Styela clava: one gene and its partner. The protein of the gene in region 1 purifies or fractionates together with the protein of each later gene. This does not show direct contact. Links are inferred from orthologs where the notes say so. Each region holds a gene or a part of one and is shown on either strand. Other genes may lie near its edges.

Evidence for each region.
Region 2: the proteins of DNA-directed RNA polymerase III subunit RPC5-like (region 1) and dynein axonemal assembly factor 10-like purify together in Homo sapiens (affinity purification with mass spectrometry; 3 studies listed by BioGRID and IntAct, with this or other methods). This does not show direct contact. The link is inferred for Styela clava from reciprocal best matches to the Homo sapiens genes POLR3E and DNAAF10.

What each region holds. Positions count from the first base shown.
Region 1 is NC_135260.1:20,666,510-20,682,946, reverse strand, and holds DNA-directed RNA polymerase III subunit RPC5-like, read right to left. Parts: upstream 6,154-16,437; 5' UTR 5,669-6,153; coding exon 5,633-5,668; intron 5,300-5,632; coding exon 5,171-5,299; intron 4,865-5,170; coding exon 4,660-4,864; intron 4,541-4,659; coding exon 4,421-4,540; intron 4,206-4,420; coding exon 4,045-4,205; intron 3,735-4,044; coding exon 3,650-3,734; intron 3,554-3,649; coding exon 3,389-3,553; intron 2,464-3,388; coding exon 2,343-2,463; intron 1,970-2,342; coding exon 1,858-1,969; intron 1,537-1,857; coding exon 1,408-1,536; intron 1,224-1,407; coding exon 1,121-1,223; intron 997-1,120; coding exon 368-996; 3' UTR 322-367; downstream 1-321. Other genes in the region: copper chaperone for superoxide dismutase-like, read left to right, coding at 9,559-9,582, 9,854-9,964, 10,405-10,507, 10,665-10,845, 11,212-11,272, 11,334-11,411, 11,478-11,560, 11,632-11,773; enolase-phosphatase E1-like, read right to left, coding at 12,414-13,267, 14,292-14,349. UniProt on the Homo sapiens protein: DNA-dependent RNA polymerase catalyzes the transcription of DNA into RNA using the four ribonucleoside triphosphates as substrates.
Region 2 is NC_135262.1:8,033,897-8,050,502, reverse strand, and holds dynein axonemal assembly factor 10-like, read right to left. Parts: upstream 6,285-16,606; 5' UTR 6,134-6,284; coding exon 5,906-6,133; intron 5,532-5,905; coding exon 4,701-5,531; 3' UTR 3,895-4,700; downstream 1-3,894. Other genes in the region: vacuolar ATPase assembly integral membrane protein VMA21-like, read left to right, coding at 9,021-9,338; sorting nexin-25-like, read left to right, coding at 9,348-12,410; sodium/hydrogen exchanger 8-like, read left to right, coding at 14,463-14,614, 15,567-15,754, 16,425-16,505. UniProt on the Homo sapiens protein: Key assembly factor specifically required for the stability of axonemal dynein heavy chains in cytoplasm.

The DNA of each region.
Region 1 (16,437 bases):
CAATGTAAAGGGCGTTCACGGCATAAATAACATGCCGCGTTGATGAAACGAATGGCGATTTTAGCAGAAGGCAATTGCACCTGGCTGCGCCACTGAATAGAACAAACGCCAGTTTCGCGTCTCCCAAAATAGTTACAATGCAAATTAATTTGATGAGCTCTAATACTAATAATTTTGAAAAATGGTGCGGCTCTCACACATTTCTGACTTGCTGCATGCGGCTCTTATACCAAAAATTTTTCCCACCCCTGGCATAGTGGAATTATTAACCCCAAAAATCACCTTGGCTGTTCAAGGACTATCTAATAAAAACATTCAGGATATTGTGCTCCTAATTTAATATAAATGATCCAACAGAGCAATAACGCTAAGACACATGATCGATATTAATATTAGAAATATTGTTAATGGATTGTTCTTCATTAACTTCCATTGCTGCAGATTGGCCATTGGTGCATTCCAAAGCAGCGTCATATGTTGGCGATGAAATATTCATTTGAGGTATGAAGTATTGAACTTTCTGCTGCGGAGAACCTCTCTTAATCATCTCTGTGGCGACAGATTGTACTGTAGAATTAACCCCAGCTATGTTGATTTTTGGGCTTAATTTTCCAATATCTCCCATAGCAATAGGTACAGCTGAATTTACAAGGGCAGCTGCTCCATCCAACCCATGGAAAGGTTGTTCGCAAATAGTATTTACACAAGTAAGATTGCTTGAATTCTGGGAAGGATCTAGTTTTTTCACAGATGCAACCGATTTGGGCATTTCTTGGATAGATGTCCTCTTAGAATTAGGAGACATTGGTACAGATTTTACTTTAGGTGACTCATTAGGAGCTTGATGGGATCTTGCAGGACTTGTTTTATGACCAGATGATTTGCGTTGACGCTTAGAAACAGTTTTCTTTTTGTTTGATACACCATCTTCTGATGAAGAAGCATTCTTTTTCCTTCTTGGAGGTGAAGAAATTTCTTGTTTGATGTGGACTGAATCTGAGAAATATAAGAATGCCATTCATATTTTTGTGAAAAATGGGTTTTTAACATCGCAGTCAAAAGTAATGCTTCACTCTCATGCAGAACTAGAGAAATTTGCCAAATTGTTCAGGAAACTTACTCAGATCTCCAACAAGTTCCGTTAAATTTAACTGTTTTGCTAGTTTGGCGCCTTGTGCATTCCATAACATTGTCTGACGCTCACATACATCAGGAAATCGATTCTGAAACATAAAACTCACAAGTGAGCAAATAATTTATCTTCAATCACATAATGTTCCGTTCGTATAATCAAAATCACGCCAGAATTAGTGAATCTCTAGAAGAAAAATTTGTACCGGTAATACATATTGACAAATAAAAAAAGTAAAAGTCAGGAAGAAGATGAATATATAACTATAATCATACCATGAAGTCATTATCAGGTCTTAATCTTAGTTGCCATCCATGACCCATTCTCATTACTGCAATGTCTTCTAAAATTGCCTTCACATCATCTCCAGGCAGTTTCACAGTGTTGGTGATTTCTTTTCTGACCTGTACACAAGATAACTTTATGTATGCAAGTCATGACAATGCTACAAGCAAGAATGGCGTGCCACAAATGGCGTCGCAGTGATGGGTGCATCAGCCTAACTATGCTAGCACTGCCAGTTACAGATTCGAATTTTAGTCAATCCATAGTTCAGAACAAGCCCAATATCGCGTCAAGGATGTAATCAAATAGCAGGATCTGTCGAAGCAGTAAAGCAATAAGATGCCGATAAAAAAAACAGTAGATCAATAGAATTATTGATACAATCACTGAGCTTCATATTCACATAAAATAAAGATAATTCAAGCATGAGTTCTACTCACTAAAAACTCCTTCCTTGTGAACATGTACAAAATATAATCTCGACTTTTGCACAAACTTTCTGATGGAGTTCCTGAGATTGGGCTTAGAGTGTTAGCTGGAAACAATACCTCACTGTGAAAAAAAAAACGGCAATAAAAAAAGTATAGCTAACCAGTTGATCATTCATTCCAGACGGACGGTAGAGAGGATGACAATTGACTAGAGGTTACATGACAGTGGAAAGTCTTGCGATACCTTATCAAAGACATGCAGAGTGGTCAGCTACTCGATGTGAAGCATATTTTCAATGCTTATCTCTATGTACCAACCGCTCCAATATATATGCAATATATCTTTTAGCATGGCAAAATTCATCTTCTATTGCAAATACTTACACCCCTACCCAAATATCTATGAGTTACAAACACGAGTCAGGACGAGTGCTTGCACCTCTTAGTCAAGTTTATGTCAATGCTTTTAATATACACAGTTAATTGTATTTCACCTCTTCACAACCCAGCAACCCTTCACCAGAACAGCATATGATTGCAATGATCTGACAATGATACTGACATCTGGTGGTTCAGGTAGAAGAGATATCAGGTGATAAAAGTGAAGAATCTTGGCTGAAAAGTAAATCAGCATGTTGGCAATATAGTATGAGCATATATCGACACCTCAAAACCAAACAGTGCTAAGTCCACTTTTCCAAAAAATGACATTTTTCAATTGCTGATTTTCCTGGACTTAGCTCTACATTTTGGTCTATTTGCCTTATCTCTAGGTGCTCTAGATCTCAAGACAGCTATGGACATAACCCTGCTTTTTTAGGGCATTTGAGAACTAAACAGAGCTGTGTCTACTATAGTGGACTTAGCTCTGGATAACTGCATTGTAAGTGGGGGCTAAGTCCGTTTTTTGGACATAGCTCCTCTCAAAAAATATAATACAAAGCGCTAAGTCCATACCAGCCTCTATAATAACATAATAAAGGGGCCCTAAGTCCAATAAAATTGTTTCTGGTCCAGAAAATTGAGAGCCAAAAAGGGTTAAGTCCAAACCCCCCCCCCCCAAAAAAAAATTGGGGCGGAGCACAAATTTGTTTATACCATCTAAATATGGCCTTCATTGTAACTTTGGTGGACCATAAAAATTAGACATCCTCGATGTAAGGTATTAGAGAAATAAAAAAAAGAAACAAAAAAAAAAATGTTTTTTGCGTTTTTCTCAAAACTAGAAAAATGGACCTAGCCCAATTTGGATTTCATGCGTCGATATATCTGGTGAAATGATCAAGGTATTACCCCTTGTTGCAACCACTATGGGTATAATAGAGATTGGCATTTTAACATGAAAAAATTGGGAATCTGTAAAATCCCATTCGAAAGAATAATGAATGGGTTGAAATTTCAACATGAAAATATAACAATTTTGAATTGAAAATATAATCTGAACGAAAAGCTCTTTTTTCATAAAATTTCCTCACATATCTAACCCCAAATAATGAATATTAAAAGATAAACTAAACCATACATCATATACTAATCATACCATTCTTCATTAGAAGTTTCAGTTGATCCCCTAATGTTTCATTTTTCAACAGAGATAAAGATAGAACATTGTCAGGTATTGCACTGTTATCAACTGAATGTTCATCATATACTGGAATTAGTTTGGTGAGGTATTCATGTGGTGTTTGTACCATTTCAGAGAAAGCTGTAAAAAGAAACATACGATACCGAGTCAGGCTGTATTCAAATCTCAGCAAAATTTAGAATTTCAAATCATTCAAAACAAAATTATAAATTATACCTGTAAGAGCTGGGCTTAATTTATCGTCAGGTTGTCTAGTGTTTTGGCAAATAAGTCTCTGTCTTTCTCTTTCTGCATAACTGTCCTTTAAAAATATGCAATAAGATTTCACATTATGATAAGAGAATTTTCCTGTTATGTCAAAAAAAAATTTAAGCCCTCTCAATATTGTGATAAATTGCAATTTGGTTAAAGAAACACATGAAATGTTTTGAAGCTATATTTTTGAGTTGTATTGAACTTTGGGCAAATACACAATAACTCAAAATTGTAATCTCTCCATTATGCAAATAACAGGAAAGTTTAATTAATAAATAGAAAATTGATTTCATTGGAAACCATCCATACCACATAATGTTCAAAACACATGTGCTCAATATTTGTAACTGTCTCACCAATTTATGGTGTACTTTAACTTCTATCCATTTTTCATCTGCAATTCTTTTTTCATAAGCAGCATAAGATCGTTCTCGAGCCAATCGAACTGCTTCTGATTCAGCTCCTTTCACTCGAACGGTTACAGCCTTAGCTTCTTCTGCCTCATCTTGGGACGAATCTTCCAAGAAAATTAGATATATCCTTATCATTTAATAAAATAACATCATAAGAAATAAAAAAAATATATAAAAACTTACATGAAGTTTAATACATACATAACTAAAATAATTTTAGCAGGCTAGCAATGTTTATTTATTTAGGATAGAAGACCTAGACCTTGTTCATTAACTGCTGCATATCCGTGGGAAATGTAGACATGAAAGTCATTATTACCTGCTTCGGCTGCAGCTTTGGCCTTTGCAGCTTGTGATGCTCTATGTTCCGCTCTATCCATATATTTAAAACTTGGCTTAAGTTGCATGACATGAGATATTGGAGTCAGATGTACCTCATCTATAAAAATGTCAAGTAATTTTAGTGGTTTCTTAATCTTTTATTTGATTTCTTAATAGATATTTAAAGTAAGATAGTAGAACATGGCTGTAACTTTCACCAAGAAAGACTAGGTTTACCATGTTGAACAATAGCAGATACATATCGTTTTCCTCTCGCTGGCACGCAGCTTGATTGTAACGTCTGTCTGTCCATAACATTTGTATCGAATGTGGTTGATGCTTGTATTGTTCCGACATTTCCATCAACATTCAATGCAATCTGCTCTCCTTTGCTTTGGTCATAGTTTGGACTGCTGATGTCAAGTGATACATCCATTTCAATCTGGATAATGGAAAAAACAAAGTGAGATATGGTGCTCACAACAATTAGTAAAAAGGAACGTGTCTCCTTATGTGACAGTTTTGAAATTTTTTTTAGATGTTCTATTGCAGCTAACTAAGGCATACAAAGATATCTATCAACATTTCTCCATTAACAAGTTTGACTTTGCACATCAGCAAGCTTAACATGAAATTACACCCAGTTAATAATTTTAACAGAATAACCTGACTGGTTATTAACCAAAGTTAGCATAAATTTTTGATAAAAGACCTGCCAACGATAAGGAAAATTAAACAGTGAATTTACTTTATTATTTTGTGGTTTGATTTTGGCCGTATCTCGATCCTGAGACCCATATTTTCGTTTTACACTTTGCACTGGATATTGCAGCAAGTAAAGGCGTCCAGACAAGCTTTTGGACAAATAGACATCAAACTGAAACAATAAATTTAGATTCATTATTAGGGTCCATTGTATATACAGATTGATCCTATGGTCCAATATAGTTCATTTCCAAAAGAAATGAAAGTACAGAAAAATCAACAAGAACTTAGATTTGAATTACAATAATATGTCGAGTAACATAGTGCATAATTTTGCAAAATTTCATCAAGCCTATGCATAGAAAATTAGAATGATAGATATTTCGACAGTTGACTAACTTGAGCCAAATATATTGGTGACAGAATGAATGAAATATCCATCCATTAACTGCATTAAGCGCTTCCTGCATGAAATTTTAATTATATCACCAAGAGTAAGACCTACCTCTTTCACAACTTCATCTTCTGTGGTGGTTTCCATTATCCTGTCATCTGACGATTAATCTTAAACTCTAACCACAAAACCAAGATTAAGATTGTTTGCCCTTATATCAGTATATTGTTACACAATTCAGCAGTTACAGAGTTTTGGAAGGTCTGTCAGTATGTGACAAAAAATGCATGAAATAAGATATTGAAAGCAATATTTAAAATCTGAAAATCCAAACGTACGGTAACGTCGCCGTGCTTTTGAGCGGCCTTGAGCATGGACTACCCGTACTGGGCACAGATACAAAATGAGGTCTGCATCATGTGTAGGGCTGCTACTTTTGTCTGACTAAAAACATTTAGATTGACCTCGAAAAACATCTAGATTGAAAAATAAAACATCTAGAAAATACATCTAGATGAAGTCATTAAATTTGATGAAAATCGACGAAACAAGAGCATACAAAGTTTGGGGCTCCCGAAGTATGCGAACCAAGATGGCGGACATCGGAATGTAATATGTGTACTAGGTTAGGGTTAGGCCATAATTTTAGGTATAAATACTACGGGAGGCTCTTGGCTAGTCTTCGAACTGATAATTTAATAGGACTAAAATAAGGAAAATTGGAAAAAAATTATCGCCTAACCCTAACCTGTTACGTTCTGATGTCCGCCATCTTGGTTCGCATACTTCGGGAGCACCCAAAGTTTAATATATTACATAGGATTAGATGTGGGAGAAGCTAACATCTGTTGATATTGTCACTTCAGAGGGGTTTTTATGAGTTTTTGCTGTACATATTTTTTTGACAACCAAATCAGCAACTTATAAGAAATGCAACATTCAGTAAATCTGTCTTTACAGCTTTATGCTCTTTCTCAGTTTATTTTTGTATGGTTCATAGCACTTTAAAGTAAAGAAAGGCAAATTCAATAGCATTTAAATAACTTTAGGCTATCATTTTAAAATTCTGAAGTGAGCAACTTGAACTACCGAATTATTCTCACCACCTGGCAACAATACAAATATACAATACTAAACATTGATTCATCGGACCAACGTCCACCTTTCTATTAAATTATGTAACTGAAACGTCACATGTTCTAAACATGTTTAATTCGTTATTCGAATAATTTAATTACATATGGTACCGTACCCGTACCGGTAGACGAATACAATTTAATGATAGTCTACATCAATATATTTAACTTACTTCTAAGTCTGTAATTAATGAAATAATATTCATTCACATATTACTGCAGTACCGGTACTGTATTACAGTACGGTACCGTATTAGTCTATACACATCGTTTTATTTATTTCTCACTGGATAATATTCGGAACGTCGAAAAAAAACATCTAGACGCCAAATTTTACATCTAGATCTTGATATAAAACATAGAGTGGCAGCCCTGAATTCACAAGATCACGTGGAAACACCGCCAACAGTCGGACAGCACGGTAACATCTGAACATGTGTGTCAGTGTGTTGACAAGAAAAAAGCGAAAACAGTCATATCAGATCGCCGACAAAGGGTTGATTATCGAGAATGTGTTGCGAAAATACTGGCAGCGGTGGGATTCGAACCCACGCCATCGAAATGACTGGTGCCTTAAACCAGCGCCTTAGACCGCTCGGCCACGCTACCAAACCGCTCTCCCCAACGTTGAGAAGACAGTTCGTCATTCCGCCTATCGCCTCTTGGAGGGAGGGGGGGAATTAGTCTGGCGTATCAAAATTTCGCTTTTGTTGTTTCCTGAACTTTGAGGTCAAATCGTGTTTCGAGAGCAAGCTAACATACAACCATGGTTAACTGAATAGATACAACGATGTTCCGACCGTCGTCGGGTGCGGCCGTGGATACTTGAAAACACTAGAGCAGGGTGGTCCAAGGTTGCCGGCTCCGCGGGCCACAAAATTATTTTTGCATTGTTTGCGGGCCACAATAGTGCATAAAAAATAGGTAAACAGTGCAATGCAAAACAAACCCTTTTATTGTGCAAACACTTAGTTATTAGACATATAGCCATCCCAGGCTAATAGAATCTGCGTTCGATTTTTAGTTTTCTATGATGCATATATTGTTAGCATATATTCCCGACCAAAAAGATGGAAAGCTAGACAATAATTTAGACTGCCAAGCACATTATTCAACTTCGCTAGTTGCCTCAGCTGGCCATAACACTAGTCAATTCAGTGACATTAGTGATGTAACCGTAAATATATACTATGTAACAACATATCAAAAAAATTTTCTGATTAATTTTATTACGAAACAACACGGAGTGCGATTTTTTCATTACTCTTCGAATGCGACGCGGGCCACAGATAATGAAGCCGCGGCTAATATGTGGCCCGCGGGCCTGGGTTTAAACCACCCTGGACTAGAGAATGCTACGCACTGTGTGTTTCGTTATCTACAGTTGGATTTGTATCGCGTAATATCAACATGATCAAAGCCCAACCACCGGAATTAAAGAAGTTTATTGATAAAAGATTGGATTTGAGGTTAAATTGTGGACGATCTGTTAGAGGTGTTTTGCGAGCTTTCGATCCTTTTATGAATCTAGTTGTGGATGATGGAACAGAGCGCAGATTGTTGTTATACATGTACACGTCTCACATTTTAAAATTGAATTAGAAGGTATTGCCCGATTTTACATCGTGTTTTTGTTTTATTAAAATCTTTTGACTGTTTTTGGTGGACGGGCACGTACTTGTACGGTTTTACCTTTTTTATTAAGTTATGCCCGTTCTCCAGATCCTCTGCATTTTGTTTGTCCGTTTGTTGTTTTCTTTCAGAGTGACCGAAATAAAACTGATGTGTCCATATATTTGAGCATAGCTTTCTTGTTTCTGTAACGGTGACCAACCAGAAAAAAGTCAACGATGCATAACAATTGAAATTTTTAATCAATCATTTTATTTCGGTACTGACATAAACAACACAAAAAACATAATAGACAAATGTACGATGGTAATGGGAATATATGTTGTAGTGATAATTAATGTAATGAATATTGTTGTAGCACATATTTAAAAATAATGCAGAGATAGAATAAAGTTAAAAACGTACAAGTAGACTACGTGCCCACCTACCAACAGAAAAATACACAAAATAGTGAAAAACATGTGATTAAGATAAGCAGTCGTATCGCCTCCCTCAGAATAAATATTACCTAAACTAGCTAGTACGTATAAGCGACACGTTGTTGTATATTTTAGTGAAAATAATGAGTATGTAAATCAGTTTGTAAGTGTCAACTCTTCGTGTCAAAACGATGAGAACAAAAAGTGTCAAAACGTTTGCAAAATAGGCATCCAAAATTTTGCTATAGTAAAGTTATGTTAATCGTTGAGTATAGGAAAGATTATTCTGGGATCAAGCGTCGGGGAAACAACCATATACATGCGGGCAAATGGACGTTTCCCCGGCCCTTGAAAATACTTTTATCATCGCAAAATTTTTAAATATGATTTTGAGAGCGTTTTAGAGAGTTTGCGCTCTCAAACTGGTTCACATGTTTAAAACTATCATTTTAGTTCAAAACAATAAACAAGACCGGTATCTGAGCGGAAGAAGTGTCTGAACAGTGGGATAAATTCCCACGTCATTGTGAACTTATTGATGATTTGTTATTGTTGTGTAAATAAACAAGAAAATCGATGCTCGGATATACATTCATTTCAAAAGCCCCGAAGTTTTATTTTATCTAACTACTTTTCGGTCGTATATTTAGGCACTTATGTTAAATCATCAGTTGTAATTATTTACGGTTAAATCGTAAATATGGTTAAATAAATAAATGAGGTATCGACACGCCTCAACGACCTTTGGTTGCGCAATACCAGAACCGATTTCTGGTTCACATTCTAGTGAGAAAGGAGGCGAGAACACTTCATCGCGGTACAATAATATCATCAATAACACTGGGGTACAATGGAGCATGATTCTGTCGCAAAGGTAAATTTCATTACGGTATTACCTATTATGTTATTGAAATTCCTCATTTCAGGGAGATGAATACAGAACAAAATTTTATTTCATTCAGATGGGCTATTTGTGCATTAAAAGACTAATAACTCTGCGCAGGTTAGAATTATGTAAGGAAAAATTAATTGCAGAAGATTCCTGAAATCCTTGTTGTCATAGAGTGGTTACTGTATCGCTTCCTCATCATCATTTCTCTCTCTTCTGCCTTTAGGTTAAAAATCATATTCTGCTCTTATTTCAGCTCGAGTTTGTTGTCTCAATGACTTGTAACACTTGCGTGGAAAAGGTAGAGAAAGTGCTTTCTGGAAACTCCAAAATAATCGGATCCAAGATAAACCTCAACATCCAGCAGGTTGGCTAATTATAGCAAGGAGAATATAAATAACTATAAGTTTGAATCAACACAACCTTATAAAGACTTACTGTGTAAATAACCAGATATGGGGCATGTTGCAGTCTTCAGCTTCATTACTGTAATTTCCCTAGTCATATTCTTCACGAAATTTCTATGGGCTTCCGCATTTCAAATATTCTATTAAAACTAAGACAGTGTTACAGTCACTATTGAATTTGGACTGAAAGTTATCTTGGATTCAGTTTTCAAGTTGTAATAATTCAAGTTTATGTTTCAACATTCCCTATTTCATGAGCATTGTCCATGTTTAAAAATTGATAGTAGCCTACAATAATTACAAAATGAATTTTAAACTATTTTATTCAAACAACAATCTCCTTTCACAAACAGTAGTGCTGATAAAAAGACACATTTTTGTGACTATATTTATTCACTAGGTAGTTGTTGACACAGCACTGCCTTTCGAAGATGTACAAAAATTGATTGAGAGCACAGGAATGCAAGCTGAATTGGTAGGAATAGGATCTTCTATGGGAAAAGGTTATACATGTATATTTTCTATTACACAAGATCATTGGATGCTGTTTACAACTATTGGGAAAAAGCAGTCGATAGATTCAGGATCATTGATTTACTCATGTAACACATGCTTCAACTTTTTATCTATTGTTATAATTGAATGATTTAACCTACTTAGATTTAGAACCCTTGGGAGCTGCGGTGGCAGAAATTCGTGGAAATTCTGTCAAAGGAATTGTAAGGCTCGCACAACTGACAAATAACCTTTGTTTAATTGATGGAATTGTTGATGGTCTCTCTCCAGGTTACCATGGACTTAATGTTCACACTTATGGAGACTTGTCTAACGGATGCGAGGGGTAATATGTTATATCATTAGGAATGATGCATACTATTTGAATTTGATAAGTAAATTTTATATCCATGTTGTCAACGTCACAGGGTATAAATATCAGGTTATGGCCCTGACCAACCCTTTTTCCACTGCGCACATTGTTATGAACAAATCGAAAATTTGTAAGGCTGCGCACATTGTTATGAACAAATCGAAAATTTGTAAGGCTTTGTAATGGCACAAGTAATGGCTATGTCAAACCCTATTGTGTTAACAACTGCTTAAAAATGAGCTTTAAAGTTGTTTTATCACTAGTTAGCGAATAACATAATACCTAATTGAGTAAGAATGAAACTAAGTATAATTCCACATGTTACTGTGTTTTCAACAGGTGTGGTGAACATTATAATCCTGATAACAAGCGTCACGGAGATCGTCTCGCTAAAGAGAGGGTAAGTTTTTATCACTTTCCATAGTTTCTAATGTGTCATTTAATGTTGTTTGGCCTTTCAGCATGTCGGTGACCTGGGAAATATAAAAGCTAACGATGGTGGACGAGCGAAGTTCAGGTTTACGGATAAATTTCTCAAGGTATCTTCCTACTTTATTTCAATTCACACAGCAAACATTTGTAAGAGAACATATCCTTCATTTTAGGTACATGATATTATTGGAAGATCAATTGTTATCCATGAAAATCAGGATGATTTTGTATCGATTGATGGAAATTCTGGTAAAGGGTACGAATTAATGTATTTTTTTTATCTGGCTTCAACTCAGTACTTACCGCTTGACCTAATTATATTTACAGCGTAGCATGTGCAATAATAGCAAGGTCATCAGGGCTGTTCCAGAATTCCAAACGATTTTGCACGTGTGATGGTATCTCAATATGGGATGAAAGACATGTTCCTAATGTTGGTAAGGTGCGTACTGAATTCTCGCAGCCTTGAGATGAAGAAGTAAGGCTCCATCTGGCAAATGAAATATTTCCATCCTGCTGGGTCTTGTCTAATCACTACCACTGCAAGATCATCATTCTTCAAATGGAATCAGTTCATTTTACTGGATTATTATTACATCATACATAGGGTCCTGGATCCGAAGACATTCCAAATTTCTTTTTCAAGGGAATTACTCTATGCTTAGAATTTCAATACTCGACACTGGGCAGAATTTTGCAACAAAAGGTTCACAAGCTAGCTAAATCTTTCCTTTATCAGAGATTTCCAGAGAGAGATATATGTTTTGTATTATAACTGCTAAGCCCAAACTAGCAACTTGATAATTTCTTGGACTCCTTCAATGGATGGTTGATTTAATGATAAACAGATCTTTTCAATATTTTTTTAACTTTATGAATTTCACCACATAATGCACAAACCAATTATTTCCTAAATAAAATGTTATTTAAGTTGGGATTTATGTAAAATATGCCTGCATGCTAATTATTAGCTTAAAAGGGAATATGCGCCAATCAGTAGTATTTTGCTGTCCAATACTGGGATCAGCAAAACATTACCAAGAATATGCAAAGACACATGCTTCCCAAGGTTTAGGAATACCAATCACTGATTACTAAGTACCGTAGTTTTATTTCTTGAGGGACTCGTCAACTTTCTGACGCTTTTCTGGAATATCTTCCTCTGTGAATACAAGTTCAGAGAACGATTTTATTGTTGTAAATCTTTCCAGATCATCTTTTAAGATGGGGTAGTTTCCTGGACGTAGCACAATACAAGCATTCATTTCAGCTGTTGTTGCTGCCTCTGCTTCAGCAAGGACATCTGTCAAGAATATAATATTTTCTGGGTTCTCGCCTATTGAATCTGATATCTTAATGTAACTCGACGCTTCTTTCTTCGCGCCAACATTTGTGTCAAAATATCCACTAAATAGTGGGCAAAGGTCACCCCTATTGCTATGTCCAAAAAGTAGTTTTTGTGCCTTTATACTTCCAGAAGAATAAACAAAAAGCGATTTTCCGTCAGTCTTTAGGGATTTCAAAGTACTCGGCACATCCTCATAAACATCACCCTTGATAAGTCCATCTGCGTAAGCAGACTGCCACATGTGGCCTTGCAACTGTTTCAAGGCTGTCGACTTTCTGTCTTTAGACATTTGCCACAAAATGTTTTTCACCACAGATTCTTGAGCACCTTTTTCATCATGTGATGGTATTAAAGGTACATCTTCAATTTCCGATTGTCTATCAGACTCTGCCAAAGCTCTTAGAGCTTCATAATCATCTAAGAGTTCTTTTTCATTCCAGTTTTTGGTCAAGTATGTCTTTATGTTTTCTTTGATGTATGGGAACAGGACTTCAGTGACAAATGTTATTGGTGTAGTGGTTCCTTCAATGTCCACAACAATTGCTTTAATATCAGTTTCAACAAACTCTTGCAATGATTTTCCTTTTGTGCTCAACTTCATTATTGCATAAAATTCTGTAATGGAACCAAAAGAAAAGGAAGTTTGACTGTTAGAGATTTCTGCAAACTATTGTGTGGTATTTCAGTTTCAAGCTACAAAATCGATTATTAATGTTAGCAGGGATAAAAATTGAATTAACAAATTTAGCAGAAAATGTAACAACCATTTCAAATTGTGTTACAGTCCTAAATGTTATAATTGCATAGCTCTGGTTAAACTGTTCCTGTGAGCAGTAGGAACCTAAGCATTTCGTCCTTAATGTGTCTAAATAGCGTGGCTGTTAAAAATGATGCGTCTTGTCATTGTATTTTCATCATCAGTGTTTTGAAACCAGTTATATTTTGCCAAATCGATGTTATGATTGCTCCTTTCAGCATTTATATTTATGCTAAGAAATTTGTCTTTATTAATTTTCAACCTCTAATTACATTAGAAATTCCAGTCATTTAGTTTTTGGCATGGCAACAATCTGCTTAGATGCCAATGGACTTGAAAACGCTTTCCTTTCAATTATATGGGTAACCAGGATAACTACCGGTATGTACATCATATCCTATCTTCATCAGCACAACATACGTTACCACATCGGTCAGCCAGTTACAGTTGAAGTGTAGGACTGTAGGTTACATTCAGTCATCAAGTAACACTATTCATTATTATAAACCTTATGTGTGTTAATTCTAATTGATTTATTGTACCTAATGTTCTTTATCATATATTCCATTAGTTCTCAATGCCCAACACTTCACCCCACATGGCTATACGCCTATACCTACCGACCGACGCCCCCTCAAATATTCCCCAAACTGTTATTGCCATCAATGTAGCTGAAGTGGGGAATACCCTGACAATTTTATGGTCTGGTGGCTCATCATCATTTTATTTCGGTATTCTGACAAAAAAGAGAACAACACAAAAAATAAACAGAAAAACAAGATGCAGAAATACCTGGAAAGCAAGAATAACTCGCAAAATGAAGTTGAAAAAAAACAAAAAAACAAATGTTTTTTTTGAGGGAGGGGTTAGCATTTATATCACCTGGTGTCACAATTAGTTCTGTAAATGAATCTGACGTCATAATTTCTTTTCTTTCCATCTTTGTGCGGTGACTAAGTAATTAGCTATAGAAGTAAGATCGGGCCCAAAAATTCCGCCCCGACCCAGGCCCGTGGGTATTAAACCCGACCCGAGCCCGTCTAATTAACTGGATTTGCAACCCAAGCCTGAAATTTCATATTTAATTTAGGCGTTCATTGAATAGTCATTGCAAGAGTTTTGTACAGTATGTGTCATGTTGATGAGGTAACTTCTGTTTTTTGCAGACCATGATCTTTCGTGGTCAAAACGCCTCATTTAAAAAAAAAGTCAGCGATTGAGAAGCCAGATCCGATTCGAACGTAATGATTGACATTTCCGGCCCGAATTTTGGGTCGGGCTTCAGATCTTAGCTCCAATTAGCAATGCCTATCCCTACAGCCGATATACATAGAATAGAATATTATGGCGTATTATTTCGTAAAACTAACAAAAATAATTATATAGCAATGTTGAAATTACGTGGCAAAATTAAACATAATTCCAAGATAAAAAGAACACAAAATGAGTACAAAGCAAAGGCATGTGTAATTAAAAATACTAAAACAACAGCCAGTTCAATATTCCTCATATTCACGAAAGTATATCAGTATTCTAATTGGTTAGGAGGATATCAAACTTCATGAAAGTTAAAACCATAACTCAATATTAATATTATCATCTCTCCTCATGCGTGGCACCCGTATTTCTACAATCGTTACTACTGCACAAACTGGAGCAGGCAAAAACAGACTTCACACAAAGGCATTTGCTGCTCATGCAATTCAATTTGGCACGGTTGTATTCAAAAGGGTGTGTCTATATACAAGAATATATATATATAAAATCTTATACAAGAACTTGTGATTTACATAATATGTTAATACGCATGCAGATTTTGGTGTATATTCATAAACAGTGCATTGATAGGTATCTTTTTGAAGATGAATAGTGAATATAAGTAATAAACATCAAAAGTGTTGTTAAATAAAGTAACTGAAAGATTTGGGCATTAAAAACGGTCTTGACAATGGAGAAGGGTACGAACTAAGCTATCCTGGGAACCAAATGAACATCTATTATGCCTGAGGGCGTATTATAAATTTAAGGTGAAAATTCTCCTACTGAACCTATTTGACGGTAGCGTCAGTTTCATAATGCACAAATAAGAAATCATTTTTAGCAGATAAGTTGAAACTGAAGACATGGCAGAAATAAGTGATCCTATTAAGGAGTGTTAGATGTAGATGCATATTACCTGAAAGTATTGTGGGACTGAGTTCCCGAACGGCTACTTACATTCTTTTCCACTTTGCGCAGGCCCCCAATTGCTAGATGATGGAAATGATAAGCCCAGTGATGAGAGCAGCGACAGTATGTCGGGTAATTAGCCAGTTATTTCAGATGCTTGGACTTGATGATGGAAGAAGCTGTAACCGACCCGCAGTTACGTGAACCACCCTACGGCGGCGAAGAGTCCAGCAATCCTCTCGCACATGGTTATCTCCCACGGATTTCGGAACTGCCTACCCACGCAGAATAACATTCCTAACGCTTAGCATGTTGCACCACACTGAACCTGAACTATGATCGTGTGAAGCGATTGCATATTTATGAATCCCCTTCTTAGTTGACCCGAAAGCTTTTCATTCATGAAATTTTTCCCAGCTTCCATCAACATTTTTTCGCAAGTTTAACAGCCAAGTGGATAGCAAGATTCATTATACACCCAAGATTTGTCTTTTTCTAAGTTACACTTTACTTTTACGCATGAACCTCAAAAATTCTCTGCAATTCCATCAACTCCACATTTTATCCAAACTTTGGCTACCATTTTGTTGTGATTTTTATTATACGCGCTAAGCGTTTAAAATTTTAAAAGTTTTTTCAGGGGTCAAGGGTCGGTGCAACTTCGATTCCTGAAATCTGCACCCACACTAGTGTTAACCATGGTTGAGCATTGAGGGTGTTGAGCACAAACAGAATTCGGGTCCAGGACTCCGAAAAACAGGATTCCGGGCCTGGTTTTCAACAAACAGGATCGGATCGGGAGTAGTCTATATAACGACTCCATAATCAGCAAAAAGGCGATAAGATGTTTGATAAAAAC
Region 2 (16,606 bases), on another chromosome or scaffold:
GTCCATGCTTCCGGAAACAAACAATATATAACTAATCCCATACCCGACTCGGAATGGTAACCGGGCGAGAGGCCGTGGTTCGCCATATGGATAAGCCGTCTTATCGGCTTTCCTCTCCCCCGGGATAAATATGTAAATCCTATCCTATCCTAACGCGATGATTAAAGTCATGCATCCCAGATATAACGTCTCTGTGAATGGATAAAACAGCCAAGGAATTTAATCTATCTTGCTTCATTGTGTTTCTGAAATACGTTTTAATACGCTTCAGCGTGCTGAATGTTCGCTCTGCGTCGGCGGAAGAAATAGGCGTCGTCAAAATGATGTCCAGAAATTTTGCAGACGCCGCAAAGGTAGTTAGTTACTAGAGTGTTATCTATGAGGAACCCATAGAGCGCGCAAGTTGATGTGATGTTCAAAAAAGTTTGATTGGTGTATATACATCGCAATTCATTTTCCAATTTACCCACGTTTATCATGGGGTAAAATTTGGAGACAGTAGCCAACAAATGGATGGGAAATTGACGTGCAAATTTTGAAAAATTTTTGGGGTTCATCAAAGAGAACGCGGCAAGGTGTTCAGTGCGCAGACGATCGCCTATTTGATTCACCAGAATGTCACAGCATTCCTTTGCAGACAAAATCAAACGCTGCGTTGTTTGCCCGCGGCGTAAAGAAGCACTCCATGTGTCGTCGTATTTTATTGTTTCCCGGATACGAGATACAGCATCGCAGAAATCTGAAATACACGACTGCACAGACGCTCCATCCATTAGCCTTGACTGCAATGCGCCGTATAATACATCCACGTGATAGAATATTGTGGAGAAAAAATGAAAACTCACCATCTTCTAGCAGACGCTTTAGACCTGCCGCCTCCCTCACAGAGCGTTCGTCCCAAACCGGAGAGCTCTGAATGCTATTGAAACACTCAATGAGCTCAGACCTAATTTCGGACACGCCCTGCACCACGCGTGATTGGAAGTTCCAACGTGTTGGTGCACAAGCTGGGAGACGGTGGCTACATTGATGGCGAAGGAGGTCAGAGCGCTTCGGCGAAACGAAAAAAAAATGAAGAAAACCCCGAAACATTTGCAAAAAATATACGGACGAGAGGGGTATCAAGACACATATTTTTAATAACGAGGTTAAATTGGTGTGCATAAGAATGTAAAAAATGCGCATGAGGAAAATCTTCTTTTATATAAACTTGAACACCATGTTTGTTTCAACCCACTCATGACTGCCGCGCCGTCATAAGTTTGAGCTATCAATTTTGACTTCGCGTTGTGAGGCTGTAACACTTCTTTCAGTACAGCCGATATCCCGCAAGCCGTGCGATCAACGATTGGTACAAAGCTGTGAAATCTCTCGGTAGGTTTACCATCTTTCACAAACCGAAAAATCACAGCCAGTTGGGAAACGCACGTGATGTCAGTTGTCTCGTCAGACTGAATCGAAAGGAACTGGCAATTCTCAATTTCCAGAGCCAAATGTTGTAAATAAATTTTATACATTGAGTCGAGCAAATCATTTTGGATATCCTTAGATGTCCCTTTTGAAACAGTTGCGGCATCAAGATGATCTCTCAATACTGTATCTAGGGATGCGGTGTATTCCACCATATCCAAAAATACCCCTCTATTAGAAGAGCCAGCCCGTTCATCGTGCCCACGGAGGGACAGCTCGTGACAACCAATGAACTTCAAAACATCTATCAATCGACCGAGAACATGGCGGTTTTTCTCGACGTTTTGGTTGTGCCGACGCATAGAAACCGCGCGTCCTTCATCCAACTGTGCTGCAATATTAACATTTCCGAATGTTCGGTATTTTACTGCATTGTCCAGATGCTCCATAGAAGATTGATGATCCCTGGCACGCTCGAAAAGATGTTTAAGATCTCTAAAACCAAATTTACACCAACGTGAGTCACGGGCGGTAGCAAAAAGTAGGCAATAAAAACAAAAAAGTGCATTTTTGTCCTTGCTGTAACACAACCATTCGTGTTTTTTATACCAAGTTTCTGCGCAGAATGTACGCCGACGCTTTCCTCCGTCATGGGATTGTTCCAGTGAACAATTTTTTGGTTGATAAGGCCCAAGACGTTGTACCTCTAATTTTTGTTCCAGCGGCAGCTGCGAAAACGGAGTGCGAAGTAGTGCATCAACCTTATTCATTTTGAGGTCTAAGGCTAAGAAATGCGAAGCCGGAAAGAAGTGAGGAGCTCAAAAGGAATGTGGAAAATCGAAAGCAAATGGACTGAAGGTCTCTAACTGATTCAAATAGCGAAACAAGCGACAAAAACGAAGGCGAGGAAACTATCAACTCTTCAAGCAACCAACGAACGAGAAGGAATGCGTGAATATGTCAACACGTTGTTGTAAGAAACGTCGGCATTGTGTCGTCATAATTTCGGGGCTAGCCCCGATCGGCCCCGTTGATTTAGTAAAAGAAACAGAAAACAAACGAGGCAAACGCGGCGAGTGGAAGATAAAAGAGAGAATACGATATACAATGAGCAACCGGGGCAAAATCGACGTCACCCCGTCGACGTTCGGCGAAGGCTTTGCGAGCGAAAAATGAACCATGTCGGGAGAATATGGCTAGTGTAGACAGTCTGTGCAACCGATATTGAGGTATTTTTCGAATATTTCTTTATTATACCGAAAAAACAACCGGGGCATTGCCCCGGTTGGCCCTATTGGCGCGCCGCCACTGTGATTAGATATATATCATATGGCCCCAATGAATGCCATATGCGAATAAAACGCCCGTCGAATACCTTTCTGATATAGACATGATCGGGGGGGTTTGTGTGGTCTCTGTCGAAAAAGGCTAACTCAGTAACCGGTGACGATCGACAATAATAGGCTACGGATCAGGCTCGATATAATCAAATGAGCAAAGACTTGTTTCTACTTCGCTTCAAATCACCCGGTATGGCAGTTTTATAGTGAGAATTCAAGGTACCCTACGTTCCATAATTTTCCTTCTTTTTGAAAGTGTCAGGTTTTGTTCACTTTACACTGAAATTCAGATCCTATGGATGCTTCCCCGAGCATCGATTTCTTTAAAAATGGCCAATTAGCAAAAAAATCAACGAGGACGCAACAATTGCAATTTTTGCAGACACTCCGTTTGCGCCGACAGATATTCAAGCATGGTTATAATAAACATTGTCTCGTTTTCGCCTGTTATTTGTCAGTTTCCCGGTTGTGTTTCCAAAAATTAGTTGGGAATGTAGTAATTTAATTGTCATGGTGTGTTCCGATGAGCTTTATGTTTAGTTGCAATATTCGAAAATTAGCTAGCAGTACCGGTACCTGTAAGAGGCACGAGGTCGCATTTTATATTGAAAAATGATGGTTTCAGCATGTAAATCAGTTTGTAAGTGCCAGTTATCGAAAATACTTTCAATATGAGCATCCAAAATTTTGCAAATTAAAGTATAGGTAATATTTTTCTGGGGTCAAGGAAAACATCCATTGTTTTAAATCAGGAATGAAGTTCAAATTTTTTTTAACATTGTATTGTTAGATCGCACTGACGGCATCTCTGATTCCTAATCATTTACTATCTTTTTGAAACCTCGATTCGCATATTTTTTGTGCGTTCTCAGCAACATGAAAAATAAACAGCGTATTACTTACTGCCCAGGAGTGAACAATCACTGGATTTCTGTTCTCACGTATGAGTCAATATGAGGGATGACCATAGTCAACTGCTCGCAACATGATTGTAGTTATCAAATATAGTATTCCTAGCCACAAAATAAATTATAAAACATGTTGGCACCTGTATTCATTATCCTACGAGTAGGGCAGTAGGCCTAATTCAACTAAGCTAAGTCACTGATCTCACTTGTCCACCCCAACTCATCAATGATAAGTATCTTATGAAAAATATACTACATAGGTGTGTAAAAACAATAGAACAAATCATTAGGAAAGTATGTACAGATTACAGAAAATAATATTCGTCCAAATACAAACAGTGAGCACAAAGGCATATTTTCTGTGTGGAACATACAATAACTAATCACAGTAAGGAGACAAAGAATAACAAACATTCTAAATCCAATTTTGGCAACTTCTATATGAAAAAACCATCGTCTACAGCTGGGGTGGGAAAGGTTTTTAGACCATGGGGCCAAAAATTTCAGCCATCTAGACTGGTGGGCCATGTAAGTGTGACGTAAAATGTTACATTTTATGCACAATATTTACAGTGTTACAGAAGCAAAAGTGGAAAACAATAGGCCTTGTTCCAAAACTAAATGTAATCGCAACCTCAACAAATTCCTTGAGCTATTTTTAGCTGAAACATCAAGATATGGTTTTAGTTTGATTGCGGCAGCATGAGGCGGGCCAGATTGAATTACCCAACAAGCCGGATTTGGCCCGCGGGCCGTAGCTTGCCCACCTCTGGTCTACAGAGTAATTAGTTGTTATACAAATACTTTAATTTTGGATTACTGTACAAAAAGGTCAATATTTAAGTATAAAGGAAACTACTTGAAACGAAAATATTCTATATTGCTCTCTTCAACTGCAAACATACAATGAAATTGAGAGCTTCAATAAATCAAAAAGTTGGGTTTGTATTATATATTCATCTCAATATTGAAAGCCAAGGATGCAGGATGGGCACTGTTTAAAAATCTATCCCAGTAAAAAAGCATGTGAAGTGCACAGATACTACAAAGAGTTTAGCTTTGTGGTTATAATTACCCTCAGTGATTGATCAAAAGCTGTACAAACTCCTAGGCCTAATTTATCTGGACTCCAGTCAAATCCACAAATAGGTTGCGTTGAAAGCATTGCATTCTGCAGTAGCTGAACATTACCAACAACACCGACTTGTTCATTGTCTTCTGTTTTACATCTCTTGGGAGGATATTCATATTTCCATAGATTTAATGACCCAGCACCTCCAGTTGTCACAAACACGTCTCGGTTTTGCGGTAAATGTTTGCACAGCCACACAGTAGACTTGTGTGCTTTCTCAGTAAGCGAAGCAAAACCCTTAGTACGATGCTGTGTTCGTAAATCAAAAACTTGGAACTTTCCTTCAAGTGAAGCTGCAACTAATTTGTTCATAGCTATGTCCTTCCGATCAAATTCAACTGCACAAACCCCATTTGATAAATTAGTCTCCCAACGAATAGACATTGTTTTCAAATCAAATAATTTGATATCACCATTATCATATCCCGCACATACACATCTATCTTCTGAATTGAAAGCATTTCCGAAAGCAACAGTCCAGCAATCTCTCGTCTCCTGCCCTTCTTCCGGCTCCATGTTGGCCACAGGAACATTTTTCTGGCGAACGTCCCACACTTTTACACAACCATCACGGCTTCCAGTGACAATTTCTGGTGCACCTTCTCCAACACCCAATCCTCCTACACCATCAATTGCATTAATGATTTGATTATGTGCTGGTACTGAATATACATCCTGCATAGTCTCAATATCCCATACTGTCAGGTGCCCTCTAAAGTCCCCAGTTGCTAGATTCCGTGACTGAAAAGTGATTTAAAATTTTTGAAATATTTTGCAATTTCATGTCATATGCTATGATAGAGAGGGAGTCAAACATGACTATTCCTCAACAAATTTCACAAGTAAAACATTATTAAATCATGTGATACAAAAGATCATGCCTTCGTATCTGTCTAGTATTCTTTGAAGTTTGTCAAAAGAGTGGTAGGCCTACCATATAACAAAGGATTTTAGGTAGGCCTATACCATTCGGTGAAAAAAAGATAATAAAAACCGGGAATTTTTTGCCAGTTCATGTCTCTGTGTCTGCAGGTACCGTACCTACGTTCAGACGTTACGGTACCATACAGTACAAATGTTCGCAAAGTCAGAACCTATATCAGTATATGACATACCTGTAATGACGATGCAGCAAACGTTCCACATTTCATAGAGGCTGGTGTTTCTTTGTCATTAATTTTCTTGATTTCTCTATGGGATATTTCATACACCAAAATTGCACCAGTACCGCGCGGATAACTTCCGAGAACAACAAACCTTGCACTCCTGGGTATCCATTTGCAGTCAAATAACGTGAAGTCTAGCGATTTCTCGATATGACTTATTATTTGTGGCTTTTCCATGTCGATACTGGACAGATAACGCTACAAAAAACAGATAGCAAACCTCGAGCGTCAGAGAACGTTGACAAGGTTAGCCGAAATATCTTTGGATTTTCAAAACAAACGGGACGTTGATTCCTCAGCATGCTTGCCAGATTTTCTCTTTATGTCACGAGGAATCAGTTGGTCAATTTGGAATACAAAGCATCGACGTGTTGAAAGAGAAGTTTTATTATTTATCCAACCATCATATAATACAGTTTTTGTTGTTATAGAAAAAAATATATAATTTTTCTTATAGACCTGAGGGAATCAGAGAAACATAAAGCTATCATCAATAAATGGACACACATTCAAACAACTACTGTATGTTGAAATTCTGGGAAAATCCGACACGACTAGTTTCGACTCGTTTTAAATTTTATTAAAATCTTGAATTTCAAGTCGGCAGTTTTTTCTCTTATTGAACACATCTGTTTTTTTTAAACCTTGAGAAAGCTTTCGACACAGTAAATCATTATATTCTATTAGAAAGTCTATATCATTGCGGAATTCGCGGGGAAGCATTTTATCTGATCTCATCATATGTAAATGGTCGGAAACAATATGTTCAAAATGGGGAGAACATCTCAAAAATGGGCCACATCAAAGGCAGAGTCCCATCCCACAAGGCTCATCGTTCTAAGCGCTAGGCATGCGTTCGTCACCTCAAGTATGATTAATCTGCCTGTGTTCGCACGTTCGAATCCCGGAAGATAATTATGTGCAAGAAGGTTACTGGACTCCTACCCGCCTCAGGGTTGTTCACGTAACCGCTAGTCGGTAAAAGCTTCTTCCATCATCAAGTCCATGCATCTGAAACAAATAACTGGCGAACTGATCGCATACCCGACATGCACTGGTGACTGGTGCTCGCAATAGGAGCCGCTTCATAGACCTTGCTCTACTTCGGGATAAATATGTAAATTCTAATCCTTATGTTATATGAACGATTTACTGTCTGCCATCATTTACTATACCAGGGTGGTCCTAGGTTGTCGGCTCCGCGGGCCACAAATTTATTTTTTCATTGTTCACGGGCCACAATAGTGCCAAGAATAGTTGAACAGTGCAATACAAAACAAACACTTTTATTGTGCAAACACATAGTTATCAGACATAGCCATCCCAGGCTAATAGAATCCGCATTCGATTTTTAGTTCTCTATGATGCCTATATTGTTAGCATATATTCCCGACCAAAAAGATAGAAAGCCAGATAATAATTTAGATTGCCAAGCACATCATTCAACTTCGCTAGTTGCCTCAGCTAGCCATAACACTAGTAAATTCATTGACACTAGTGATGTAACAGGATGTCAAAAGATTTTTCTGATTAATTTAATTACGAAACAACACGAAATGCGATTTATCGATTACTCTCCGAATGTGACGCGGGCTACAGATAATGAAGCGGCGGGCCACATGTGGCCCGCGGGCCTGGGTTCGGACCACCTTGTACTATACCATGCCATCATGATAGCTTTCATACAACTTATACGCATGGATCGGGAGCCCAGATCACCATTATCAGTCCTACAAACCGATCCGCACAAAACAATAATCAATCACTGTTGAATTATTTCCTTTATTGGCTTATGTTTATACAGTATAGCGTTAACTTTGTTTTAGTGACAACAAATCTCCCTCTCTGAACAATCTAGAAACTAGCATACAATAAGAATGCCGGGAACTACTTTTTTCTAGTACCACGAATTAAAAATGTACCAATGTATCGGGCATAATACTTTATGACAACTGATGATTAATTTCTTACACAAGTCAAATGGACACCCTAGTCACCTAGTGCATGACTCATTGACCCCCCTTGTCACATGTGACAAGTTGGACAAGTGGGACATGTAAGACACGTGAGGCAATTGGGACAAGTTGGACACGTGGTACAAGTGCGACACGTGGGATGAGTGGGGCACGTGGGACAAGTGGAACACGTGGTACAAGTGGGACAAGGGAGACACGTGGGACTAGTGGGACACGACCTTTTTGAGACTCCGCCTGTTGGATCACAATTTAGATAAATCTTCTTGTAGTCTTGCTGATATTAAAATGGCAAGTCCCGTGATTTTCCACATCTAAAATATTTTGTTTGAATCCACACATACATTGTAAGTTGAAATACTCACAGTTTGAATTTAAACATTTGGAGATCTGCCCTATGCCTGATTTGTCATTTATTATGTCATTAATCAACGCGACTTGCAACTGACAGGAGCGAGGTCTGGACGTTTTTATTTATTTTTTGCCGTCCAAAATGGCGGCGTAAACAAAGTCACGTGAACCGTGCAAGTCCGCTATTCCTGATTGAATAAATTTTGACCTGTCACTGTCAGTCTGTCTGTCTGTTGTGTCGCATGAGACAAGATGCAAGTCAATCATTTAGATTTAGAGGTTGGGGTTATCCAAGGGTTATAGTCACTTAGGGTTTATCGTTCTTAGTATTTCGCTAACCTACGAAGACGAGTCAATGTTTTCAATCATGTGTTTTAGTGATGTGATGAACGAACAGTTTCGCATTAGAAAGGTAAATATAGTACTACCTATAGCTAATTACATTCAAACATTTCTGCATTTGCAAGCAATCGTACCGGTATCACTGTGTCACTACACTACAGCACTGGCAGACTCGTCTACAAGTTGGGTAGGTACAGCGGTTCTGAAGGGTCCCTGGTATTACTGCAGTACTGTATTTTATGTTTTGATTGTTTTCTCTCTTAGTGCAGTAATGCTGTAGTGTTACCGTACAGTGTTATGTGATTGGATTACAATTCAAAATAAGCTATGCCTATATTCTGATCCAGAGAAAATACTCATAATTAACAGCTAATTCATAAATGAAATACTGATATAAAATGTCAGAAAATACCAGTTCAGAAGAATATTTAAAGAAAAAACTACATGAAGAAACAGTGAAACAAGCAGAACAAGGTGCTGTCCCAGCTTCAACAGTGATACAAATGCTATTTTATACTTTTCTTATGGTGACCGGTCCAATATCATCATATTATATTGCAAAAAATTTGGTTTTCGAAGGATTTTTCAAACTCACAGAAGATGCGAGTATTGTGCCATCTGCTTTAACTTCAATTGTAGTGGTTCATGTTGTTCTCGGACTTTTTATTTACGCCGCTTACACAGAAAAAGTTGTAGAAAAGAAAAAGACTGATTAGACATTAATAATGGATGTCTTGCGGAAATTGAAATTTTTTACTGTTTTTTCTAATTGGAGGAAATTAACTCTCATTTTGTTAATCTTGTGGATCGTATACATGTTTGACACAGCAATCCCTTCTAAAGTTTTCAATATGGTTTCTGCGATTGTTGCTGCATTGATTGGTATATTGACTGGAATCTATATTGCGATTAAAACTGTTGACTATGCAGTTGATAAATATCCGTGGTCGCAAAATCAGAATGGAATATTACGGAATCGCACTTATTATGATATACCAACTGGTGAGGGATTCATTTTCCATATTAAAAAGTTTTTTGTTGTTCTCTTGAAAGGCTTATCAAAAAGTATTCACATGCATTACCGCATGCATGAGACTCCTCGTACATCTCTTCGACATATACAAACCAAAATAGCCATGCTTGGTAAAATTCCTGATCGGAGCAGTGTACAAAGTGGAACCTATGTTTGTGTTTCACAAAATGTTGATATGCTTATGAATAGAATATTTGAATACACATTCCGAGACTTTGTGGAAACATGGTATGCCACTGTTAGCAATGATCATGGACGTTTGCATAAGTTAGTCAAGGCTGACTTTTGGGAGGCGTATCGATATTTTTCAAAACATCTCTCCAAAGTTGACATAACACATCTAGTGATGGATAGATTCGTAAAAACATTGGTACAATATTTTAAAGAACTGAGTGCATCAGATCCTTCACGAAAGAATGCTGAACTTTTTAGTCTTCACCCTTGTCTCTATGATACCAACTCAGAAAAGGAATTTCTTCGCCGTATTAGTGGATATATTATAAAGTTATGTTTCCCCATTCATATATCGTCAAATTCTAGTTCAAAATTGATTTTGAGAGAAATTCTGGCTGGTTTGGTATTTTTGCCAATGATTGATAGTATTTGTGATCCTGACTATATTAATCTAAGCATATTAGCTTATATCAAACATAGAGAATCTGAGCAAGAGGAGAAAACACGAGCGTATATGTATGCCGCAACTTACGAAGATTTTATTCGAATAATTAGCAGTACTGATAATATTAATCAATTATATCAAATCAGACGTCACATCATGACAGAACTCATGCATGCTACTGCAATAAGCAGTTTAAAAAAAAACGAAAAAAAATTGGGGAAAGCGAAGAGTATGGCAAAGGGAGAATTACTGATATCTCGAGACTTGAAACGCTATATTAATCAGTGTCAAGTCGCAAGACAACAGTGCGAAAAACGAATAAAAGCACTAGGAGGAGATGGCAATTCAAATCAACCTAAATTTGGAGACGAGGCATCTGGGGCAGCCATTACATCAAGCGTTCATTTGCTTTCTTATTCTGAGGTAATGGCATCTCCCATGGCTCGCAGCTATTTCATGAAATACATGAAAAAAATTGGACGTGGGTCGTTGTTAAAATTTTGGAGTGAAGTTGAAATTATCCGTGATACCGAACCTACTGGTAAAAACCTTGCTAAAATCATAAGTCATATTTATCAAACTTATGTAGTACCAGGCACTTCTGATGAATTAGGAATTGATATTGAGAAATCATTACTAAAGGGCATGCAAACTTGTGTTGTGGGTAATAAAGCTCCAGATGACTTTTTCACTCTCCAAGAACAGATTTATAAAATACTAGAAAAGGATCATTTTCCATCTTTTTTGGTCAGCGATTTTTACATCTACCAATTGATGCCACAATTAAGGGATGATAGTACTTCCGAGGATGCAATATTTCAACCTGAGCAAGACGATTCTTATTCGCACCGTACAGCTGCTTTTGGAAATAGAAAGTCACCATCTGATGGAGCAATAGAAAAACTCCGCAACATTGAAGAAAAATTGGAATATAAAGCACAAGCTTTGGAGAGTCTCAAACCTGGTGGCAAGCAAGATCAGAAATTGACGAAGCAATTGCAACAAGATATCGCTGATTTACAGAAGGACAAATTGCAGCAACAATTACACATCGAAAGAACGGAAACGTGGTGGTCTCGAATGGGAAATTGGAGTGCGAATATTGATAATGTTGCTATTTTGCCTATTAATGATGAAAATGCGACGAAAGTCCCTGTTTACAGTATAATTGTATTGTGTTCTGGTGTCCCTCTTTTGGAAGTTACAGATGATGTTTCTGGTTGGGTCGTTGCAAGAAATCTTGATGAATTCAAATTATTGCACCGTAGTCTTCGTGATCTCCGACCTTGGTTAAAAAAGAAACGTTTACCAAATATTCCTATGTTTGGTGGTATATCGGATAAATTTCTTGATAAATCAAAGGTAGTTTTAAACGAATATTTGAAAGATATTTTAGAAGATGAAATACTAAGTCGAAGTGAATTAGTTTATGCCTTTCTCAGTCAACCACCAGAACAATCTAAAAATGATTCTCTGCTACGAGGAAAAAGTCATCGCAGGAATACTTCAAATCCCTTTTTTTCTACCGGTGAAACTTCTCGTAAAAAATCATTATGGCAAATTGGTGATTTACTTTTTACATTACCAAAAGATATTTTTGAGTCGGTTCTGCGATCCGAAGACGATCTTTCTGACAGCGATGAAACAGATGCAGATGATGTGATTGATTTAGATTCAATTGCTGAACCGTTGTATGAACTTGTCGGAGAAATATTTGAAATTCAAGGATTGTTTCGTCCGTTACGTAAAACATTAGTTATATTTGTGAGGCTTGCTTTCGGTGGAACCATTAATAAACAAATTAAAGATACTTTACATTGGCTTATTTCTGATCCAATGCTAACTTACTATCTTCAATTATTTATGGATTCGATGTGGCCCGATGGACAACTAAAGCCAAAATTAACATCCTCAAGATCTGAAGAAGAGAAAACTCAAACGGCTTTGGAGGCACAAGTTAAATTGTTACAGAATATCCCTGAAGCGTTTCAAAGCTTAATTGGCCAAGAGAATGCGAGACGTGGCATTCTTAAGATTTTTCATGCCTTACAAGATGAGAAATTGAACAAACATATTTTCTATAATTTACTATGTGAAATGGTTGAAGAGGTTTTTCCAGACATTATTAGTAAATAGGAATGTAATTTTTCACTGGGATTAATCTTTAACATTAGTTATTTGTATGTGGGTATCTTAATATTTGAATACATTTTTCTAAGAAGCTGAAATTGCAATGCAAATTGGCAAATGATGTATTTTAATTGCAAATCCACCTAACAACCTAGCTATCAAATGATCTGGTTCTGAACTTGTGGTTAAATTGTCAAGATGTACAAATTAACATGGATATTAGCAAGCACAGCTACTGTACCGTAAACTTCAACAAATGCTCCTTTGTATAGCAAATTATATCACAGCTGTGCTATCAATTGTCAATACACCTGGCGACCAAGTGCTCTTGTCTGGTTTCTGGTCCTTGTCGGGTATGGGATTAGTTAAACCAGTTGTTTCAGATGCATGGACTTGATGTTGGAGGAAACTGTAGCTTGTAACTGACCAGCAGTTACATGAACCACCGTTGTCATCATAACATGAATGATACATCAGTTTTCATAACACTATAATAATCAATTACAGTCACAAATATTGTATTTAAATCATATAACGAAGCATCAAACATAATTTTATTTTAGACTTATTCATTGGTGATATCTATTTCTTATACATCTCATTATGTGCCTTGTTTCAAATTCACTTATAAAGTTGTATCACAGAAAATATTTTTCATGAATTGAGTTATATTTGTGGGATTTCAAATCATTTAAATCAAACTATTTTTGAATATATGGATCAGGGATGGGAAAAATTTACGTCTGACCTCAAATTCCGAGAGCCATATAAATACTGACTTTTGAATCTCGCCTAATTCCAGATTAAAGAAAATTTTTACTTCAGCTCTGAACTTCATGAAACCAAATCGAACAAAAGCTTGGGGTATGCAAGCCTTCAATTCAATTTTTTTTCTTTTGAGACCACTTATAGCCAATGAAAGTCTGATATACTGCCTCCCAATTATTGAGAATTCGAAATTCTGGTTTAATTAAACTCATTTTCAGATAGAAATTTTTTTGTTTTTTTGAATTGTATTAATTAATTGGACAATACTTACAACATAACTAGGTAGTACATGAGTTCTTTGTTACAATTATTACTCATTTCCGTGCTATTTTTGCAGGAAATACCAGGTCCTTTCATCCTGTATTCATATGAGATTGTTAATTTAAATGTTTCAATGTATTGTCTATTTATTTTTGCACATAAGGCTATTGGTTATGAAACCTCTCAATGACATATCTATCTGTTGATTGACATTGAGACAAAATGTAGTGCAGAATAAATAAGAGTCGCTTATTGGATATTTGAATAACATTTGGTACTGCACATCTTGTGAATCTGATCAAAAAAAATTTAAGCATTGGTTATCATGAATGGTGCGTTGTCAAAGATCAATCTATATTTTGATTTCAATATACATACTTTGATTTATAATTGTGCGTGCTTTACTACTTGTTATAGTGAGTGAGTGCTTTTGAGTATGGCGATATCATAAAAAATTCAATTGGAATTTTGGTTTTACTTTTCAATTTTTTTGGATATTGGGATGGGAGTTACCGGTATCTTTGAATTCTTATGAATAGGCTTTCTGAATATTCTAAAATCTAAACTTCCCATTTATCAATTGTACAGTTCTGCAACTTTGTTTCAAGAACTACTTTATTTTTCAAAGAAAACTTTATTCACAAGCCATGCTTTTGGTGAATTACAGTTAAAATGCTGTTTTCCTTATCATAAGTTTTGTTGAAAAATTGAACTATGATATTTCTAATGTATTGTGTGTTTATTAATTTCCTTATATGACGCTAATTCACATTTTCTCTCGGAAATGAAGGCCTGTATGGGCAGCCACTGATATCTAGGGGTATGGAATTTGGGGGCTGGAATTGTTCTGGTTCGAAATTGCCATTTCAATACGTTATATCCTGGGTGAGGGGGGGGGGGGGTGCTTGGGATTTGGAACTGGAATGTATCCTGCGATACTATAAGGTTTAATCTGTGTTTTTTTTTGCTCTTTTCTTTTCAATGGATTCATTGTACTGTGCAATTTTTGTTAACAGATGATAGTTAAACATGATTTTTAATAATGTAAATTACGTAGTGAAAATAAATACATATTCAACCATCGGCCGCACTTGGAAATTATCATTATTCCTGGTTTTATTTCTTTGTATATCATGCCAAGCCTTAGAAGATGCACCAAAAAACACGAATGTGGACTCTTTGTATGTTTTTTTCTATATTATAAAAGCAATTTAATTAAAGTAATATAAATAGAGAAAACTGGTGAACAATCTTAGTGGAATGTTGGGTAATGGAATAGATTTAGTATTCGAAAACTGCCTTTGAAAATGATTTTTGTGAATTTTAAATTATTTATTTTTTTGAGAATAATTATCAATTTTATTGAGAAATAATAAAATCTTATACAAGCTTGGTAAATTAATATAAAGTGTATAACTGCTTTGCTTTGAACAAGCCTTCACTGAGATATAATCAGCTTTTACTTCAGAGATATTGAAATGGCTCTATTTGACATGGGTCCTAAAATTGAATACAGGTTTATTCTAGGTTGTTTTGCAATGTTTTGTAAGAAAGTAAATTTCAAAATGATTTATGTTTCAAGTTTTTTTGAGGCATTATTCTGATTCAGTGTCGTATTTTAGAATGCTATATTATATGTTGTATTTACATGTTGATTTCGCTACGACATATGTAATTGAACGAAATTGGAACATGTATTTGCTTCTTGTAGCAATTAATACAGTAAATGGTTTTATTATGGTGTTTTGTTGAGATTTGTTTCTGTCTCTTATTGTAATGAAGTGTGAATGCGGCAGAACAATATTCTAAATGTTTTACACTTACCTTTCCAGTATGTTCGATATGCTATATAACTCTAATAGAGTCATTAGAAAAGAATATCTCACGTTAGTTAATTTTTGAGAAAATAAATTTTATTTAAAAATGGTTGTTTTATACTAGTCAGTTAATTTTGTGACCATAAGGCCGACATGGGCAAACTACAGCCCGCAAGCCAAATCTGGCTCGTTGGGTACATCAATTTGGCCCGTCTGATGCGGCCACAACCTAACTAAAACCAAATTTTACTGTTTAGGCTAAAATATAGCTCAGTTTTGGCACGAAGCTTAACTGTTTTCCACTTTATCACTTTAGGCCTCAAGAAATCAAAAGCACAGCGTCTGATAATTTTACAACAACAACAACAGCAATAAGTACAACAACAGAAGATGAAGGAAAAAAGCAAGTTGAAGAAGCCATATCAAATATTCAAACTGGCCAAGAAGCCCAGAAGGAAGAACAGAGCAGTAGCATGAAGATTTTCTTTATTTTAATTGTTTTAGGTAAGATTGATTATGATGTTGATTGATTGACTTTAGCTGATTCAAATGTCTCAAGCCGGAAAGGCAAATGTTGAAATTTGGATATTTTACATTAACAAAAATAATGCATTCTTGGTATCTAATCATGTTTAGATTAGTTACCAAATTAGCATTAGTCACCAAAATATTTCAATAAAAAGTTACAGGGAATTCAGTTTTCTTATTTTCTCAAGACAGATTTTTCAAGTTTTGATATTTTGTGTTAAAGCCTCATATGTTGAGTATAAATACATAAACTGTCTAATCCTAAACTGAATAAACAATTTTCCTCTTTTACAACATATTTATGCTTTTCGCTTTGGACAAAGCTCTTCATCACCCTCTGAAAATAACTTACCGGTATTATTGGCGTCTTTTTCAGTTTTCTAAAAATTTCAAATAAGGGGTGTTTTTATCCCTTCTCACCTTACCCCCCTGGCTGCAGAAAATTACCCAGACTAAAAAAAGGCTCATTTCATTCACATTTAATTTTTTTTTAGGAAATATTAAATTTTGGAATCCCTGATTTCTCGACTCTGAAAACTTAGTATCTCGATTCTCGATCACTGAATGAATTAAGTCTGGTTGACCTTGGTAGCAGATAACAGCCTTTATCGCTTTGGTTTTCAATTTTATGTTTTTATTTTTACAGCACTATGCATATTGCTCACTCATCTTCTCATCAAATTTAAATTTCATCTTTTGCCAGACAGTGTTGCTGTTGTATTTTTAGGTAAGTTGTTTAGTTCTTATTATTCAATAAGAAAATGTATATCATCTGAAATATTGGGAGTTGTGATTTTGTAGCTTTTGTACATGTTTTACTCTGAGCAT